Caenorhabditis elegans: one gene and its partner. The protein of the gene in region 1 purifies or fractionates together with the protein of each later gene. This does not show direct contact. Each region holds a gene or a part of one and is shown in the gene's direction. Other genes may lie near its edges.

The links.
Region 2: the proteins of cks-1 (region 1) and cdk-1 purify together in Caenorhabditis elegans (affinity purification with western blotting, with the first as the bait; one study listed by BioGRID). This does not show direct contact.

What each region holds. Positions count from the first base shown.
Region 1 is NC_003282.8:8,509,703-8,518,832, forward strand, and holds cks-1 (Cyclin-dependent kinases regulatory subunit), read left to right. Parts: upstream 1-4,216; 5' UTR 4,217-4,247; coding exon 4,248-4,403; intron 4,404-4,517; coding exon 4,518-4,646; 3' UTR 4,647-5,023; downstream 5,024-9,130. Other genes in the region: FYVE, RhoGEF and PH domain-containing protein tag-77, read right to left, coding at 697-838; Polycomb protein mes-6, read left to right, coding at 1,735-1,929, 1,984-2,214, 2,255-2,428, 2,473-2,657, 2,841-2,921, 3,000-3,359, 3,471-3,624; C09G4.4 (uncharacterized protein), read left to right, coding at 3,721-3,775, 3,831-3,885, 3,938-4,064. UniProt on the Caenorhabditis elegans protein: Binds to the catalytic subunit of the cyclin dependent kinases and is essential for their biological function. Has a role in the exit from M phase during early mitotic cell division.
Region 2 is NC_003281.10:9,740,160-9,749,519, forward strand, and holds cdk-1 (Cyclin-dependent kinase 1), read left to right. Parts: upstream 1-7,312; 5' UTR 7,313-7,314; coding exon 7,315-7,494; intron 7,495-7,544; coding exon 7,545-7,751; intron 7,752-7,799; coding exon 7,800-7,955; intron 7,956-8,006; coding exon 8,007-8,333; intron 8,334-8,380; coding exon 8,381-8,509; 3' UTR 8,510-8,693; downstream 8,694-9,360. Other genes in the region: T05G5.1 (Prothymosin alpha-like), read right to left, coding at 263-708, 755-883, 2,008-2,168, 2,786-2,857, 2,908-3,011, 3,074-3,177; iff-1 (Eukaryotic translation initiation factor 5A-1), read right to left, coding at 5,749-5,814, 5,864-6,001, 6,120-6,272, 6,317-6,446, 6,894-6,994; T05G5.4 (uncharacterized protein), read left to right, coding at 8,781-8,834, 8,878-8,991, 9,059-9,161, 9,208-9,301, 9,357-9,360. UniProt on the Caenorhabditis elegans protein: Plays a key role in the control of the eukaryotic cell cycle. Required for entry into S-phase and mitosis. Acts as a component of the kinase complex that phosphorylates the repetitive C-terminus of RNA polymerase II.

The sequences.
Region 1 (9,130 bases):
AAGGACACAACCCAATTTTCTAAAATTTATTACTAGTACACTTCTTGGCGACAAAGGAGTAAAATCTGTCAAGTGGCACCTTTAGGCAAACAATATTGCGAAAAGCCTTTATACTTCTTTTTGACTACTTTCGCAATCGGTCACGCGTCTGTACAGATTTGATAGGAACTTTGAAGAAAATTGGGCATTTTTCGTTAACAAAAAGCAATAGGAAGAAGAACAGTCAAAAAACAATTTTAACACGGAAATCAGTTGTTCTACGATATTGTAAAAGTTAATAGAAAAAAAAATGATAGTAACAAAATATTTATGAATTTTCGTCTAGATTCTAACAACGAATATATAAATTGAAATGAGAACTTAATTTCCTTTAAAAATTAATTCGATTCACTGTTGGTGGAGTTTAAGGCAGATTTTTTTTTCGAAAAATTGACTGTTTTTTTTAACTCACAGAATCATTGTCAACCCGATTTTCGGTTCTCTCTTTTTCAATACTATGATCATATGATCTATTTAGTTATTATCAATAAATACAGACATAAATAGTTTTTAAAAAAATTATTTTTTAGTTTTTTTTTTCAAGAAATTTCGTAACTTTTATTTTCTCCACAGATAACAAAGCAAACGAAGTTTTTTGCTACGCCTCAATCAATTGTCGACAGTAAATACAAGACGTCTTCTCTGTTTCAGACTCACAAGGTGGCGGTGGTGGTTGCTTCCGGAATCTGTTGTCTCCGTCGTCCAGTTTATTTTGAAACTCTGCCATCATTTCTTTGACGGTCCTAGACGCCGGTGGAGTATCATCAGAATTTTTGCGATGGTTCATGTCATATTTCATACAGGCGATCTGAAAATAACTATAGCTCGTTCGAGATAACATTTTGGCTAAAAAATTGAAGAAAAAACGATAACACTAAAATATTATGAAATTAAGAATTAGTAATGAACGGGAACAGTCACAGCATGAGAAAAAGGCAACCGCTAGAAGAACAGGTTGAAGCAACAAAAAATCACACAAGACGCAGAGAATCAGGCATTGGAGACGCAGGGATATGGATGAGTCAGCAGCCGACGAAGACAAATTCGAAATAGCAAAAATGAAAGAAGTCTACGGAATTCACAAAGTGGATCTTTTGATATAAGGACAATTTTACTAAATAATAAATATGAATGAATACCCCCAAGTTGATCGCTCTGAAATCTGAAAAAGACCACAAAAACATTTTTTTTAACTGACAATAGCTCACGTAGCAATATAGGATCATACAAAAAAAATATACAAAATTATTAGTTTCGCTCCTTGCGAAAAAAGCCGAGTACAAAATCTACTTAATCCCGTTCGAATCCACTCCGAAATTGGAAGTGGTACTTCACGACAATACAAAATTTAAGCTGGCAACTGTCTTTTCTATCATATTCCCAATCGAAATCACAAATACCTCCCGGAACTTTCGAACAGAATCCAAAATGAGAACAAAAAATTGTAATAAAAAAATAACACTTTAAAGGTGCATGAGGTTATGCGCTCGTTGGGTCTCGCCGCGCTTTTCACCACTAATGCAATTTGAACGAGAAATGCGCGCGAGCGGCCATATTTTAGTTTTTCTGTTGTTTTTATTGTCATTTTTTTCCTTTTTCACTGCAAATTTGATAGTTAATCGACTTTTTTATGTTTTTACTGTGAAGTTTTTATTTTGTTATATATTGTTTCTTGCCTTTTTCCCAAAAACCTGAATGGAGCACACGAAAAAGTTCAAATCATTAAATCTTCACGGGTTTGATCGAAGTACAGAGGATTACGGAAAACGACCTTTTGTACTAACTGCCAAGCTACTTGAAGATCAGAAGAAAGCTATTTACGGATGTGCATTCAATCAATACGCAGGAATAGATGAGGAACAAGCGGTTGCAACTGTCGGAGGAAGCTTTGTAAGCGTTATTTAGCAGGAAACTGACAATGAGGTATAAATATTTGTTTTTCAGCTTCACATGTATTCTGTTCCCATCGACATAAATAACATTGAGCTGCAGTGGTCTTGTAATTTTCCTACCGATAAATCATCAAAGGTCGAACGAGAGGAGTCGCTCTTCACTGTTACCTGGTGTTACGACACATATGAAGCTGAAAACGACCGAAATCCCTTTAAAGTTGTAACGGGTGGAACTTTGGGTCACATTTACGTTATCGACTACGTCTCGAGGAAGCTGTCGAATGTAAATAATCAAAAATTACTGAAATAATTTGGAGTTTTAGCGTCTTCGGAGTGTTGGATGGGAAATCAATGACATTCGTACGTGTCCTGCCAACTCAAATCTGATTGTCTGTGCTTCATCAGATCAATCTATCCGGATTCATCATATTCGAAACGAAGCATGTCTGATTGTTATTGGGGGTCTCGAGTGTCATGCTGGAACAATTCTTTCTGTGGTTGGTTTATTAAATTTACTTACGTTTCGAATTTCTCATTTTAGGATTGGTCAACCGACGGAGACTTCATTTTATCGTGTGGATTCGATCATCAACTCATGGAGTGGGATTTATCTGTGAAACAAGTAAAGGAACATTTGGAACGAGCGTGCAAAGCTCTTCACCAAGATAAAATAAATGTGCTAACACAATCACAAGATATTCCGTATGTTTCGAAAGGAACAATGAGGTAAATCAATTATTCAGCTAACATTTTCTAGTTCCTTCTAGTATTTGATCAGTCCTTAACGCGAAAATTGTTGCTGTTGTTGTATATAAAAATATTTTTGAAACTTGAGTTTTGGATAAAAGACTGGTAAATAAAGAGACCAGGGCTATCAAATCATAATGTAATTCATTTTTGTATTTTTAGAAAGTCTGCAGTTTCTCGCAACATTCCCGACAAAGAAGAAGATCAATTGCTCGAACTTCACAGAGAGCTCATACCCCGACCGTACGTTGATTTTCGGCATCCATTACTTTTTTAAAGTTGTTTCAACGAATCTGGTTCTATCGTTTTCTTCTTTTTCAGGAGCTGCCTTCTTCCAATTTATACTCCATCCTCCGTATCAACTGATATGCATTCTGATTATGTGGATTGCATTCGATTTCTTATCGGTACTAACTACGCACTATCAAAAGGATGTGGCAATGAAAAGGCAATTCATTTTTGGAGATTTGGGCCACCTAAGGGAGAAGTTGAAAATCGCATTCATGGAAATGTTCTCCGTCCAAAGTCGTGTACAACGAAATTTCGTACAATGAATGTTCCGAGTGGTTCTGCATGGTTTATCAAATTCGCCGTTGATCCAAGAAGACGATGGCTGGTGTGCGGTGGAGCTGGTGGTTCTGTGATGTTTTTCGATTTGAGAAATAATGAAGAAACCAATCCGTAAGTAAAATATCAAGAAAAATAATTTCTGAGATGTTCGATATCTCTTAAAAATTATAGAAATATTTTTGCTGTGATTACCAGTATAAATTCCTGTTTTTTTTTTTACAGGACTCACACTTGTTCCGTTGGCTCACGTACAGTTCGGCAAGCTTCTTTCTCTACATGTGGCCGATTCCTAGTACTAGTAACTGACGAAGGATTTGTTTGTCGATTTGATCGTGTATCTGCGTCTGTCGACGCTAAGGACCTGGCAAAATTTTGAATATCATTCCTTCTCACCTTCAATTTTTTATATCTCGTTGTGATTTCATCTTCGATCATCTTCAGTGGATTTTACATTACAATTTTGCAGTTCCTAATGTCATCCCCAACCTCCTCTAAGGATTATTCTTCACCTAAACATAGCTTTATGTGTGAGTTTCGAAGAGATTATTTTCGTTTTCTGATTATCTAATTTTTCTAATTCAGTGACAGTCGACAGCAACTTACAAAGTGACAAAAAGAAGACGTTTTTGAATGTTCAGTGAGTTTTGAAAATTTTATTAGCTTTCATGTTATTACCTTTTTTATTTCAGATCATCTTCCTCTGCTGGGTCAACCAAGCACTGTCAAATTCCAATGTCAAAGGACGAGTATTTTGAAACACGCGGGAAACTCGACTCTGTTGATGTTATCGATCAATTCAGACAGCGTCAGCAATGAGCATTTATCGATTTGTCTGTACATGCAGTGTTCCTCACCATTCTCACTCTTGTCTCATTCCCATTCTTCTCTTTTTTTTCAATATTTTTTATTCTTTCCTTATTTTTGTCCGTTTCTATTTCCCGATGCTTGTTAATAAAATGAATTATTTCAGAGTCGCACCTTCTCACGCCAACCAACAAAATGACAACTGGAAACAATGATTTCTACTATTCAAACAAATACGAAGATGATGAGTTCGAGTACCGTCACGTTCATGTCACCAAGGATGTTTCCAAGCTTATCCCAAAAAATCGATTGATGTCCGAAACAGAGTGGAGAAGTCTTGGAATTCAACAGGTAAATATTTAAAATAGGTTTTTTCCTTAAGAAAAAAAGAAAAAGCGAACATAATTTCAACTGACATCAGAATAAGTTATCTCATCGTTTCATAGCTTCAAGTTTTTGTTTCAGTCCCCAGGATGGATGCACTACATGATTCACGGACCCGAGCGTCACGTGCTTCTTTTCCGCAGACCATTGGCAGCTACACAAAAAACCGGAGGAAATGTTCGTTCTGGAAATGCTGTTGGAGTTCGCTAATACTGTTCAAATCCACATTTCACATATATGGATCTCTAGCTCCCTTCCCATTCTTTTTTCCAAATTCTCGTTTTCCTTTTCGTTCTCCTTACACACGAAACTTGTTCAAGATATGTAAAATGTTATTATTTTTATCCTCTTCCATCATCAGCTCTCCATTCACTTTTTCTCGTTCTTAACGTGTTTTAATTCAATTCAAATCCAATTTGATAAGACGACAACGGGAGCCACCTCTAAATCAATCTGAAATATTTGTAAAATGGTCCCCCACTCGCCACTCTTTTTAATTTTCGCCAATATTCAATTTGGTCCTTTTTACAAATATATTTAACGACGTATTCGTGTTTTTATATATAAATAAACACTGACCTGCATGGAAATTTCGTTTTATTTTTAGCTGTTTCAGTATAAACTTGCGCATGTCTTCTTGAATTTGATACTAGTAAAGCCGCTGCGGGAAGCCTGACGCTGGATGACTGTTCGAACAGGTGAAGCTTCACAGGGGAATTGAACTTGTTCTCTGACTTCTGAATGATATATTTTTTCGTCAAGTTAGATGGTAAAAAATTTGCCTTGAAAATGTGTTTTTTCCTGTTTAGAATTTTAATTTACACAATTAGATGTTTCAAATGTTCTATGAAAATAGAACTCATAAACTAAAAAGAAGGCTCCGTCGGCTCATTAGAAATCTTGGACACCCTTCAAAAAAACCCAAAAACAATGCAATGATCCACTTTGCATGCTGCCAAAAGCTAATTTTGTTGAAAAGGAAATCCCATCGAGCATCGCAATTATTTTGAGTTCCAAATGCTATTTCATTTGGTATAGCTTGGAATTTTTTGTTCATGTTTTATGGAAATATTCATCGTGAAATGTTTCTTTAGAGGTTTATTTCTCACAATCAGTGGGTCTTGTCACGACCAGAATGTCTTCTCACTTTTTGATCTCCAAGATTACGGTAAGTGGAAAAAGGTGAACCTAGTCTGCTTTATTCATTTCGAACACACGATTGAAAACTCTTCAAAGTTATTGGCTACAACAATGGAACGTTTTAAAAAACATTTATTTTGGCAGAATGTTGTTAGCTTTTTTTTTCGAAAAAAACATTGGAAAAGGCAAACACTTTATTTTATTTGGTTTGTCTATGTTTTTGTGAATATTTAGTGAACCGAACGATAATTGTGAAGAATGTGTGTGGGGAGAGAAGTGACATACACAAGTGGGCCACGAGACAGAGTCATTTCCCGAATTTTAAATTGAAAATTCAAGCGGATCTTTTAGATTTAAAATTATTCAAACTGAATTTTTATACTTATAAAAAATCAATCTGGCAATTAAGAGGTCTGCCACTAGTTTCAATTTCTCCAAATGATCTCAATATGAAATATGAGATAAATGGAAATAATTGATTAAATTTGAAAAAATTTGTGGAACTTTTTTTTTAGCTGAATAGGTATTTCAATCAGTTTAATATTTGAAAATCAGCAAAAACAAGTTTAATCTGCTATACCTTTATTTAAACTTTGAAAAAGTTTGATACAAAATACACGTCTCCACTGAAAAATTCTCTGGAATCCCAACCATCCTTGAATTTGCTTAAATGGTCGAAATCTCAAAGTTTCAGCGATATACATAAATCTATAGACGAGTTGCTGCATCAAATTTAGAATATTTTGGGATTTCAGTGATTTTAAAACATATGTTTAAACATAAATATCTGTTGGTGTGCAAATTATAATATTTTCATCAATTGGCCACAAAGAATATCCATTCTTGTTTTGGATCATATATAATATTTTTTGAAGAGTAAACACTGAAAACTGAAAAAGAAGAAGAAGAGGAAGAGTCCATCCGATTCCTCGTGGGAATTCATATTTTTCTATATTTTCAGACACTTTGCTGCCCATCATTATGTCCCTCTCGCACTCCCTTTTTAGTATTCTAGGTTATTTATTTTCCAATACTCTATTGTTTAGATTTCAGCTTAAAAAAATATAGACGCAGCAAATCTGACTTTATCGTTTTGAAAAATTTGATAGCTAATGAATTTTGATTATAAATAGTTTGAACATTTTTGGCAATGCCTGAGATTTATACATTTGCACCTGGCACATGTTAGATTTCCCTTTTAAACTTTCTCACTTTCCCCATATTTTCTTATTCTCTCATACGCCATAGACGATCACTATTCCCGGAAAGAAACGTGCAAAAAGAGCAACAAAAAGCCATATATCGGAAACATATGAGTGGGCGGAGTCACTCCTAAAACTCCGCCCTTATTCTTGGAGCAAATTAAAAGCAAAATCTGAATGCTTACATTTTTTTAGAATTAATAATCTAATAATGTTTCAACAAAAATCTCAAAAAATTGTGGTTCGAAGTATATACCTATCGGAATAAAATTTTAATTTATTTTTCAATTCAAAAGCTTTTTTGGAATTATTTTAGTTCAGTCATTATTTTAGTAGAGTCCTAATTTTCTTAAATTCTAGAAACCAATATATATATTTCTTTTTTTTAATTCTAAGCATAACTGCTTAGTTATAAATCTACAATTTCATAAATTTTTTGAAATACATTTTCAGCAAATCTAGATTTCCAATCCTACAATTATGTCTTTTATACGCCCACATGTTCCATTCCCATGGGTTTTCACTTTTGATTTTTTCGCATTTTTCTTTTAGACAAAGTTATGACGTTGCAAATTTTCATGCCTTTTTTCATGGAAAATGTGTAAAAGTACGTGTTTGTCTTTTCTAGGTTCTGCTCTTTTTTTATTTGATTCTAATTCCCAAGAGTAATTGAAATGGATGGGCGGGATGGAGCGAGGCGAAAAAGATGAAAAAGAAACAAGAAATTTGCACTTTCTCTTAAATTTTATTCTGAAATAATTTCTGTATGAAATTTCAAATTAGGGAGATTATTGAAAATGAGAATATACATTTAAGATTTTAAGCTTCCAATTTCTGTCAATTTTCCTGTACATGTTCTAGTTTATTTCCGCTTCATCTAAAACTCAAACGTTCGATTTTTTGATCTTTCGTGTTGTAATATCTCTTTATAAATATCTCGTTTTCCAATCAATTCATTCAATTTTCCCGAAAAAAGTAAAATAATTACGTGCAGAAAGCTTAACTTTTTCTTGGAAATATATTCTTTTCTTTCCTCATTTATTTCTCACGCTATCTGTTTCTGTAGTTCTTTTGAGTTTTTAAGAGCCAGAACTATGATGGCTCAAAAAAAGTCACACGATGTCTCATTCAGTTCTTTTTGCGCGGAAACCAAAGACACAAAATAGGAGAAAAAGCGCAAAAATTCGGGAAAAAAAGAAGCCATATACATTTATTAAGTAAGAATGAAGAAGATGAATAGGAAAAAAGGTGTCCTTTTGAATTTCCGTCAGTTTTTAATATGAGAATATAGTAGGAATAAGATTGATTTGTCTGAAATCGTGAAATTACATATCCTGCAAAATTTGAAAATATTCCACTTTTTCGATTTAGCAGGAATGACATAAGAAGGTTTCTTATTTTTTAACAGTATACATAGCTGATAATATTCTAATATGAAACGTATTCAAAAAAATATGATTTTCAAAATGTTCGTATAAAGGTCTCACAGAACAAGATCTGCCAAAATGTTCAAAATCTTTTGCACAAGATTGCATGGCTTCGAGAACATTTTGGATTAATCTAAACTGAACTATTGTTTTACAAGAGAATTTGAAATTTCATATATAGTTTGAATCATAGCATTCACAAATTATACTAACACTTTCCACAATAATTTCGAAATTTTTCTGTTTCAGCCAATCTACTCAGTCTTTCACAATTTTGGAAGTTGATCAAAAGATCAAGTAGTAAAACAGTATTTGCCTAAAAATTGAGTCTCATTTTTTAAATTACGATTTTAATACTTTTTTTCAAATTTTGGGGTTTGAACCTGTAGAAATCCTCAGCTCAAAAAGATGCAAATCTTCGTAAAATTGGTGATTTGCCAAAACTGACTCAAAATTTTATAAAACATGTTAGCAATTTCAAAGTGTTTAGCATAGTGTTTGTCCATTTTGGAATTTTCAAAGTGTTTTCAAACAAAATCCTCACTGACGCTACTCCACATATAAAGCGTTTAAATTAAGTTAATCAGTTATCAGTTACGCAAACTTGCGATTTTTTGTAACAGCCAAATTTATCCAGCTCATTTTTTCCTACAGGCGTTGAATACAAAAATTGTTATTCATTTAGTGTTCCATTTTCATTGTCAGTTTTTTCCCATCGAAAATCCTGTTTACAGCACAAAAATGTAGCTTCAGGGTACAAAACCGATGAAAAACAAATGTGAGTTAGGGGAGATGTGAATCCATTTTCATCAAATTTAAGGAATTGAAGACACGCCAACACACCTCGAATTTTATGTCTTTGAACTTCAGTGATCATTCAATTCGTTTTCTTCAATTCCAAAAAAAAAAACTAATTAGATTTGAG
Region 2 (9,360 bases), on another chromosome or scaffold:
AATTTACAAAACACGGTACTGGGAGCATTTTAATTCACATTTTAGCCAACAGCTAAAATGTAAATTTCAAATAAAATTTTATAAATTATCCCACCCATTTTTGGTGTGCCCTGATAATGGGTGTACAAAATTCCTAACATCTGTATTTTTTTCAGGCGTCGGATTAAAATCAGGGTGCTTCATAGCATGTTTCACATAGCAACTTTTGAATATGTATTATAATTATAGTTGATATCTAGAACTAGATTTAGAAAAAACTTACATTGGATGTTCTTTTACAGTTTCATCGACTGCTTTATTGAAGACATGTTTAATCGAATCAATAAGTTTTTCATCTTCTTTTCTAATTGGTTCTTTATCATCTTCCATTTCATCTTTTTCCATAATCATATCACTTCCATCATCTCCATCTACTCCTTTACTCTCTTCTACCATAGGCTTCATAAGTTTTGTAGTTTTTGTAGTTGTGATTGTAACATCTTCAGTATTATCTGTCTCATACCCTTCATCATATTCATCTTCTTTTTCAGCAACTTGTGGATATTCTTCATCTCCACCTTCATATTCAAATTGTTCATTCATTGATTGTGTCCTTTTATCATTTAATTCCTTTTCTACTTCTTTTTCTGTTTCTTGTCTCCGTCTCTCTTCATCTCTTACTCTTGCTTCATCGGTTTCTCGTTGTGCAGCCAATCGGCGGCTTTCTTCCTGCAAAGGGATTCAGAATTAAAATAATACGGTACTTCATTCAAACCTCTCTACGTCTCTCTTCAATTTGTGATCTTTCAGCCTCGTGTTGTCTGCGTCTCTCATCATCACGTACTCTTTGTTCCTGAATTCTTCGTTCGGCTTCAGCTCGTTGTTGCTCACGGCGAGCTGTCTCCTAGAAATATTTTGTTGAGAGGAAAATTTTTAAATGAGGGGGCGGAGGGTAAGATATTTTAAAATATTCACGTCTACAGTGAGTAGATATTCTTTTCAGAATTTCCGATAATTTCGAATTTTTTTTGGCAAATTTGGCAAATTTGGCAAGACTGACAGTTTATACGTTTCGGCCATTTTTCTCAATATTGGCAATATTGGCAAATATGACAAATATGTCAGTTTTGCTAATTTCGGCAACTTCAGAAATTTTGCCAAAACCCAGTTTTTGGAAACTTTGGAATTTTTTCCATTTTTGGTAAGTGTTGGCAAGGCCGACAGTTTTATAAGTTTTGGTCAATTTAAAAATTTTGGCATTTTTATCAATATTGGTAATATTGGGAAATATGACAAATTTGTCAGTTTTGCAATTATGTCAATTTTGGAATTTTGGCAGTTTTGTATATTCTGTAAATTATCGTCATTTTAGAAATATTGTCAAGTTGGCAATTTTATATTGTGCCAATTTTGGCAGCTTTAGAAATTTTTTAATTACCTTTTTTAACTTTGGCATTTTTTGCAATTTTGGTAATTTTAGGAAACTCGGTAAGTTTTGGAATTATTGGAAACTTTGGCATGTAGCAAAGGTTAATTCTGAGCCGAAATTCCAAAACTACCTATAAAAACATTACGCCGATAATATAATGCTTTTTTTTGTCACACTTTGTTACTTGAAAATTTAATTTTTGTGCAGATTGGTTCTTGAAAATCTAATGTTTTGCTTTATTCACACCCCACTGCACCATGATTCACCTTATATGGCTCATGGGCAATAAATGTTTCAATGTTTTTGACAATAATATTCTTACAACATTTGGCGGCAACAGGCAAATCCAAAATCCGGAACTAGTTTTCAATCAAATATCAATTGGAACACTTCCCCTCAAATTGTCCCCTTTGATCTATCATTCATATACCGCCCAAATCTTTTGCTCAATCAGAAAATGCACCTCCCGTTGGTGGTGTGGAATGTGTTCAAAACAAGTGTCTGCTTGCTCGATGTGATAGAGAGCTCATTGAGATGCTCACTATCTCTCTTTCAATTTAAAACAACTGTTCTTTTCTGCTGATGGGGGGAGGGCTTACCTCTTTCCAATACTGTTCGTGTTGTTGTCGGCGTCTCTCTTCATCTGATGCTCTCTCTCGATCCTCTTTTTCTTTGCGTGTCCTCTCGGCGACTTGTCTCTCGTACTCACGTTTTCTCTCATCGTCACGTCGTCGAGCATCATCAATATCAGCTTGAGATTCTGGAATTTAAAGAATTTATTGCTGATCTAAAACAAAATGTGTTGTGGTTGACAACTTTTGACATCTCGACAGCTGTCGTGTCAGGACCAATTACATTCTCAAACAAAATAATACAAAAAAATGGAACAACAGAATAGCACATTTAAATGTTTTTGTTCAGCTTTCAGGAAAAAAACCCTAGTAACAGTTCCTTTGCGATGCGCGCATAATACTTCACTGGTCGATTTTGGCAATATCGAAAACTTTGGTAACTTTGGAAATTCTGGCAATTTTGGCTTTTTTGACAATTTTGTCAATATTGGCAATTACGTCATTCGCCGTAAATGTAAAAATACTTTTTTTTTAAACAAAAACCCTCCGAAATATAAATCCAACAAAATATATGTAGACCAACTTAAACTGAAAAAAAAGTTGCCGAAAAGTTTTGGGTTCGGCAACTTCGGCAAACATTTTTTATTTTAAAATTTCAGAAATTGAAAAACACCGTTTTAGCGCTTGTTAGCGCTTAGTTCTACTGAAATTGTGGCGAGACCCACTCAGAAAACAGTGTGTGCCTTTAAAGTGAAGTTTCAAATGGGGACAAAATCATGATAATTTGAATTTTAAAGAAACATACGCTGATGTTGGATATTCATTGGGTGTGATGTTTCATCGGATGTTGCAGTTGTTTCAATATCTTCGGGAGCAACTGAAATTTCAAAATTAAATATTTTTCCTAAACTCTAAATTTTGAGTTACTTCTAATCTGACATCTGTCCCCAGTGTAGACCCCCAAAAGACAGATGCATGAATGAAAATCGGGTCGCTCCAAATCGAAAACACACATTCCACCATTTTCGCACCTATAATTAGAAATTATAAGAAGAAGATATAATTGGTGGTTGTCAATAGTGGGTAATTTTACCTGATTTTACAGTTTGATTGAGGTGATACAAGACTTTGACCACAATTGATTAGGCCGACATTGAATGCGAACATCAAAAGTAGTAACAATATCCGTGAATGCATTTTCTGAATTAATATTGAATCGTTTATTATATTTTTATCACATTTTAAGGCATAGAAGTGTTTTGGAAACAAGGAAATCAACTTTTTTAAATTTAAAACTTATATTGAAGTGCAAACCATTGGGGTACGGAAAATACAGAGAAGAAGATGAATTGTCAAATATCATAGCAATACTTTTTTATTTAAAAAAATTGAAATTGGTTCCATCTATATCCAAAAATTGCAAGTTCTCAACAATTTTGGAAGTCAACCAAATAATTAAAGATTTTTTTAAATTGTTTTTGTTTCTAATTATGTTTAAAGCATTTGTACTCATACAAATATAGGTCTAACACTTTTTCAAAAAAAAAAACCAACAATTCCCCAACAAAAAATTAAAGTCTAACAATTTTGGACATTCCTGCAGGTTCGAAGTTCTATGATTCTTGAATTTAAATACAAAATTCGTAGGACTTTTTTGGTCAAAATTACAAATTCCAAATTATGATAGGTGAAAACTATTCCAATTTTTTGACATGAAATTCTAAAAAATTCTAATAAACTACCATGGCTTTTGTAAATTTCGGCATCATTGAAAGAATATGAAGTTTTATTTTTTAGATTATTTGAAATAAGAAAAAATTATTTTTTCAAAATTACTGTATCATTCGAGAAATTGAAACTCACCAAAAAGGTGAAAATTTAACTTGAATATTGATTTTTGATTAAATTCAGTTTAAAGAATTTTTTTAAAAAATAGGAATTCGAAATTTACGGTACTATTACGGTACTTGGTCTCGAAGCGAAACGAATAATTTGAAGTGGAAAAAAAATTCAAGGAAACTTTCAAAAAAAACTACTGTACTTCTTAAAGGCGCACACTCGTTTTCATTTCAATTTATTTATATTTTCTTCGGTCGTCGCGAGACCGGAGACCCTAATTTTGCAATGAAAATCGTGCAACTTCGCACATAGGATACAAGTACTATTTCGTATTTTTGATTTTTCAGGTACTCTAACTAATTCTAGATGCTGTTTATAAAAGTATATCCAAAAAAAAGTTCATAGCAAAAATGTTTTTTTTTTCAGGATTTCTAGCTACAAAACCAAATTTTTAAAAGTAGTAGAACAAATCTTAAGAAGTTATCAAGTAGTACAAACTAATTAGAAAAACATTGCTCTTGGAGCAAGAAGGCACTAGTGATGAATCAGTTGCGACATGTTGTGAATCTTCGACTTCTTCCTGTGTCCCGCCACTAAAACACGCAAAATGAGCCATCGACGGGACCCTGCGTCTCCGTGATTCATTGAATCTTTCATCATTTGGAACTCAAAATGACGACGGGACGACAAGTGGCTCCTGGACGGGAAGAAACGAAAAGAAATAAGAAGATGAGACGTATGTGTGTGTGTGTCCACTACTCTTTTTTTCTCGGCATCCCCTCGTTTTATACCCAGGTTTTCGTAATACTCAACTCGGAATTTGAAACTGAGACGTTGGCACGGCTCACCTACAACCTTTGTTGAGCTCATAAAACCTGCTACGAACAGGTGTCGACCTAGAGCTACTAGATGACCCGTGTAGAGGGATGGCTCTTATTTATATGAAACAAGAACTTTCTGAATTCAAAAATTATTTTAATCTTTTTTAGAGGCTGTACTGTCAATGGTTTTTTTATAAAAACTATTTAGCAGACCCAAAATTGGTCTGCTAACCAGTTTGAGAATTTTAAAGTAAAAACGCTATTAACAGTACTCCATCATAAAAACTTATTGGAATCGTAAAATGAACAGTTATACAACATGCTGGTTGATGCAACAAATGGAACAAATACTCATCAAATTCTCAGGCTTTGTTTGCGAATGTGAAGGCAAGCCGGAGATAGGAAAAGCTTAAGTAAGAACAGGTGGAGACGGACTACAGTAATCTAGATTAGGACGGATATATGTGTGGTTTTGGAGAAAGGCAAACAATCAAGGCTGATGAAAGAGTGGACACGGGTGTAAACGCGGCAGGAGGTGCGAGATGTGGCGAGATGATGATGGAAGCGTAGAGTTTACGAAATCTTCCTGGGTGACTGTGAAATTTATGCGACTCTTTTAAATTGCCAATTGATGAAGGAAGGATGGCTAGTGAGGTTTGAGGAAGGTGGGTCTTTGATACTGCACCTAGATATTATCGTGGTTAAGGGGGTGCTCGCAGGTCGCGGAGGAGGACACGTTTTAAAGTGAACAGCTCTATTGGCACGCGGCCAACCTGGGGTCAACTCAATAAGCAATAAGGTGTAGTGTACAAAGGGTGGAAAAGCTGCACAGGCCATGTAGTTCCAAAAACTAGGAACTGTGATTACAAAGTCTGACAACTGAATCTGATTTAACACTCCATGGACAGATGTCACCTCCGCGGTTTGCAAGCAATTCATTTTCGTTTGGTGAGCAGATATCACAATCAACACGACACATAAAACACCCACATTACACAACACCAGCGGAGGTGCACTTGTTCATTGCCCGATGTTTTTCGAATGATGTATAAAAAGCGGGATGATTAAACTGGAACTGCTTTTATTATGAAATTGTATATAAATGCAATTATTCCTTGGTAGAAATCTTGTATCCGAGAATAGCCTCCTCTCCGCAGGCAGCAACGACTTGAACCTGAAAATCAAAATTTTCAGATTCAAAAGGTGGATGTCGAAATAATTACCAAGACGCTTCCTTCGTCTTTCTCGAGAGCCTCACGGATAGTGTTTCCCAAGTCTCCTTCTGGCATTTTGAGATCGTCTTTGAGCTCGCAAGATTCTGGATCCATGAGCGAGCAGAACCCGTCTTCGATCGACATGAGCTGAAAATTTGATCAATAACATTTTTTACAGCTGATTAACTCATTTTTCAAAAGATTTGTTTAACCGTCCAAAGTTGATTTTTTTGAAAGCCTTCTTAAAAACTAATTAACAACTTACAATGTACTCGCGTCTCTTGACGACTGGGACGTCCATGTTGTGGGTGGATGGGCAGATATCCTCAAGCTTCTTGGTGGTGAAAATATCGATGGCAACCATGTGAACCTTAGCATGTCCGTGCTTTCCAGTCTTGGAGGTGCTCATCTCGACGATCTAAAAAATTTCTAATTAGGAAAATTCACTGAATTATTTTTTACCTTGCATGGTCTTCCTCGGATCATGACGTGCTCGTTCTTGCGAAGAGCCGAGCATTGCTTCGGGAAAGTAGCAGCAGCTCCGGACTCGGCAGAGTCGAATTGCTCCTCGTCGTGATGATCTTCGGACATACTGCAACAAAGATTTATCAATTATTTTAGCATTTTCAACTAGTTTCCAACGAGAAATTCAAAAAATAAATTTGGAAAAAAAGGTTTGCAGGAAAAAATTGTTTTGATTGAGAAATTTGATGCATTTCTAATAAAATATTGATCTTAGCAAGAAAAACACTGTACAAACCTGAGAAAAGTATAGAAATCGAGAGAAAATCAAATGCGCGAATTTTTTTGAAAGGACGTTGTTTGGCTGCGTATCACAATGAAGAATGAGTCGCTACGCAGCCAAAAATTTGGCGCCAACTTCCATCTTCAGACAGAATCGAAGTCCTCACTTTTTTAGGATTTCAAGGAATCTGCTCTATTTTTTGATTTATCTGAATAAATAATTTCCTAAAAATGCATTCGTTGCTTACTTGCCAAATTTCGCTTTCATCATGTAAAATTAAATAATAAAAATTACCTCTCTATGGTCTTCGGGGCAGCAACTCTCGCCATCCACCCTCCGAAGCCAAGATTACGATTTTTCTTTGAAACTCTGTTTAGTTTTGTTGGAAGCCTCATAAAGTAGAACAAATCAAGTTTATGATTATTTTGAGTAGTTATTTTTATATTTTCCGGCCTGTATTTATTCTCTTTTCTGCACAGTTTTGCGTTAAATTTTATCATATGAATGCAATGTTTCACAACAATCCTTCTCAGCGCGTACTCTCCTTTTCGGAATAAATTGTCATCAAAGGTGCATGCCTTTTCACTAAGCAATGGTCTCGCACCGACTGTCCCCCCTTTTCGGCGGCAGTGGAAATGATTCAAAATTACACGCTTACGCCTTTTCTATCGTTGTATTACAATTGTTCTGACAAAATTCATTTCCAATTTTAGTTATGGATCCTATTCGCGAAGGAGAAGTGGCCCACGAGGGAGATTCGGTTTACACACTCAACGATTTCACGAAGCTCGAAAAAATCGGCGAAGGAACATACGGAGTCGTCTACAAAGGCAAAAACAGAAGAACCAATGCCATGGTTGCTATGAAGAAAATCAGATTGGAAAGTGAAGATGAGGTATTTGAATTTTGTAGCAGTTTCGTTTTTTCAAACAATAATTCTTATAGGGTGTTCCATCAACGGCTGTGCGAGAGATCAGCTTGCTCAAAGAGCTCCAGCATCCGAATGTTGTTGGATTGGAAGCGGTCATTATGCAGGAGAACCGGCTTTTCCTGATCTTCGAATTCCTGTCTTTCGACTTGAAACGATACATGGATCAGTTGGGAAAAGATGAATACCTTCCGCTCGAAACTCTTAAAAGTTACACATTCCAAGTGAGGAAATATTTAAAATCGATGTCTTTACAAGAATAATTGTTCCAGATTCTTCAAGCTATGTGTTTTTGTCATCAGCGTCGTGTTATTCATCGCGATCTTAAGCCACAGAACTTGCTGGTCGACAACAATGGAGCAATCAAGCTTGCCGATTTCGGACTTGCCAGAGCTATTGGTATCCCGATTCGCGTTTACACGCATGAAGTGAGTTTGCATTCATTCTGTACACCAATACAATGATTGTCCGGTTTTCAGGTTGTCACTCTCTGGTATAGAGCTCCAGAAATTCTGATGGGTGCTCAGAGATACTCGATGGGCGTAGACATGTGGTCGATTGGATGCATTTTTGCTGAAATGGCCACGAAGAAGCCACTGTTTCAAGGAGATTCAGAAATTGATGAGCTGTTCCGCATCTTCAGAGTTCTCGGCACACCGACTGAGTTGGAATGGAATGGTGTTGAATCACTTCCGGACTACAAGGCGACGTTCCCAAAATGGCGTGAGAATTTCCTCCGTGACAAGTTCTACGACAAGAAGACTGGAAAGCACCTTTTGGACGATACTGCATTCTCTCTTCTTGAAGTAAGATTTCTAAAATAGTACTTTAACAAGTAAAATAATATTTTCAGGGTTTGCTGATCTACGATCCATCACTTCGTCTCAACGCGAAAAAAGCTCTCGTTCATCCTTATTTTGACAACATGGATACGTCAAAGCTGCCAGCTGGAAATTACCGAGGAGAACTCGAACTCTTTTGATGTAATTCATTCATCATCATTTTTATTATTTATTCTCCCGTGCTTTAACCACCTATCGTCTTCCGTGTATTGTTTAACTATCACCATTTCAACTTTTTACCTGTACGATGATTATTTGGCCCTTCGATATTCATGAGTAATCTCTTTTTTCACACCGCGATAAATAAATTCGCTCTACTTTCATGCTCTTTTTTATTCAAGCACTTTGTTCAACGTGTAAATGAGAATAGGGAATTAAGAATTCATTATTATTATTTTTCCATTCTGAAGAATGATCGCTGCAGTGATTCCAATATTCGTAATTTCTCTGTCTAACATTTCGCACGTAAGCTAAGGTAACGAAAACTAATCTAACTGGAGCTATTAAGATTATTCTTGCAATTTTCTTCTTCCCATCGATTGTAGAATTCCTCGATGATCTTTACTGGGGATTCACTTATCGTTCGTGGTCTCCAATTGCACGTCAATTAGAATTGGGACCGGTAGGATATATCCCTATATATAGGATTAAATACAATTTAGAGAATAAATCAAAATAATTGTGTTTAGAACATTTACATTCATCACTCGAAGGTTTCTATTTTGATGGACAAAGCTGATCTTTATGAGAAGAATCAGTCTAGGAAAGATATTTTAAACTATTACCGGGAAGGTATTGTTTAATATTTATTCATTCTCTCGAATATCTGAAATTTCAGAAGACAAGGATTTTGAGCAGTATTTGAATTTTAGAGAAAATCGAAAAATGTTGCAACAAGCTTTTGAAAGCGGAACTTTGATTCGAAAACAAAAGTAAGATATTACATTTCTCTAACTTTCCAGCTGTCATTATAATTTCCACTTGCAGCTAC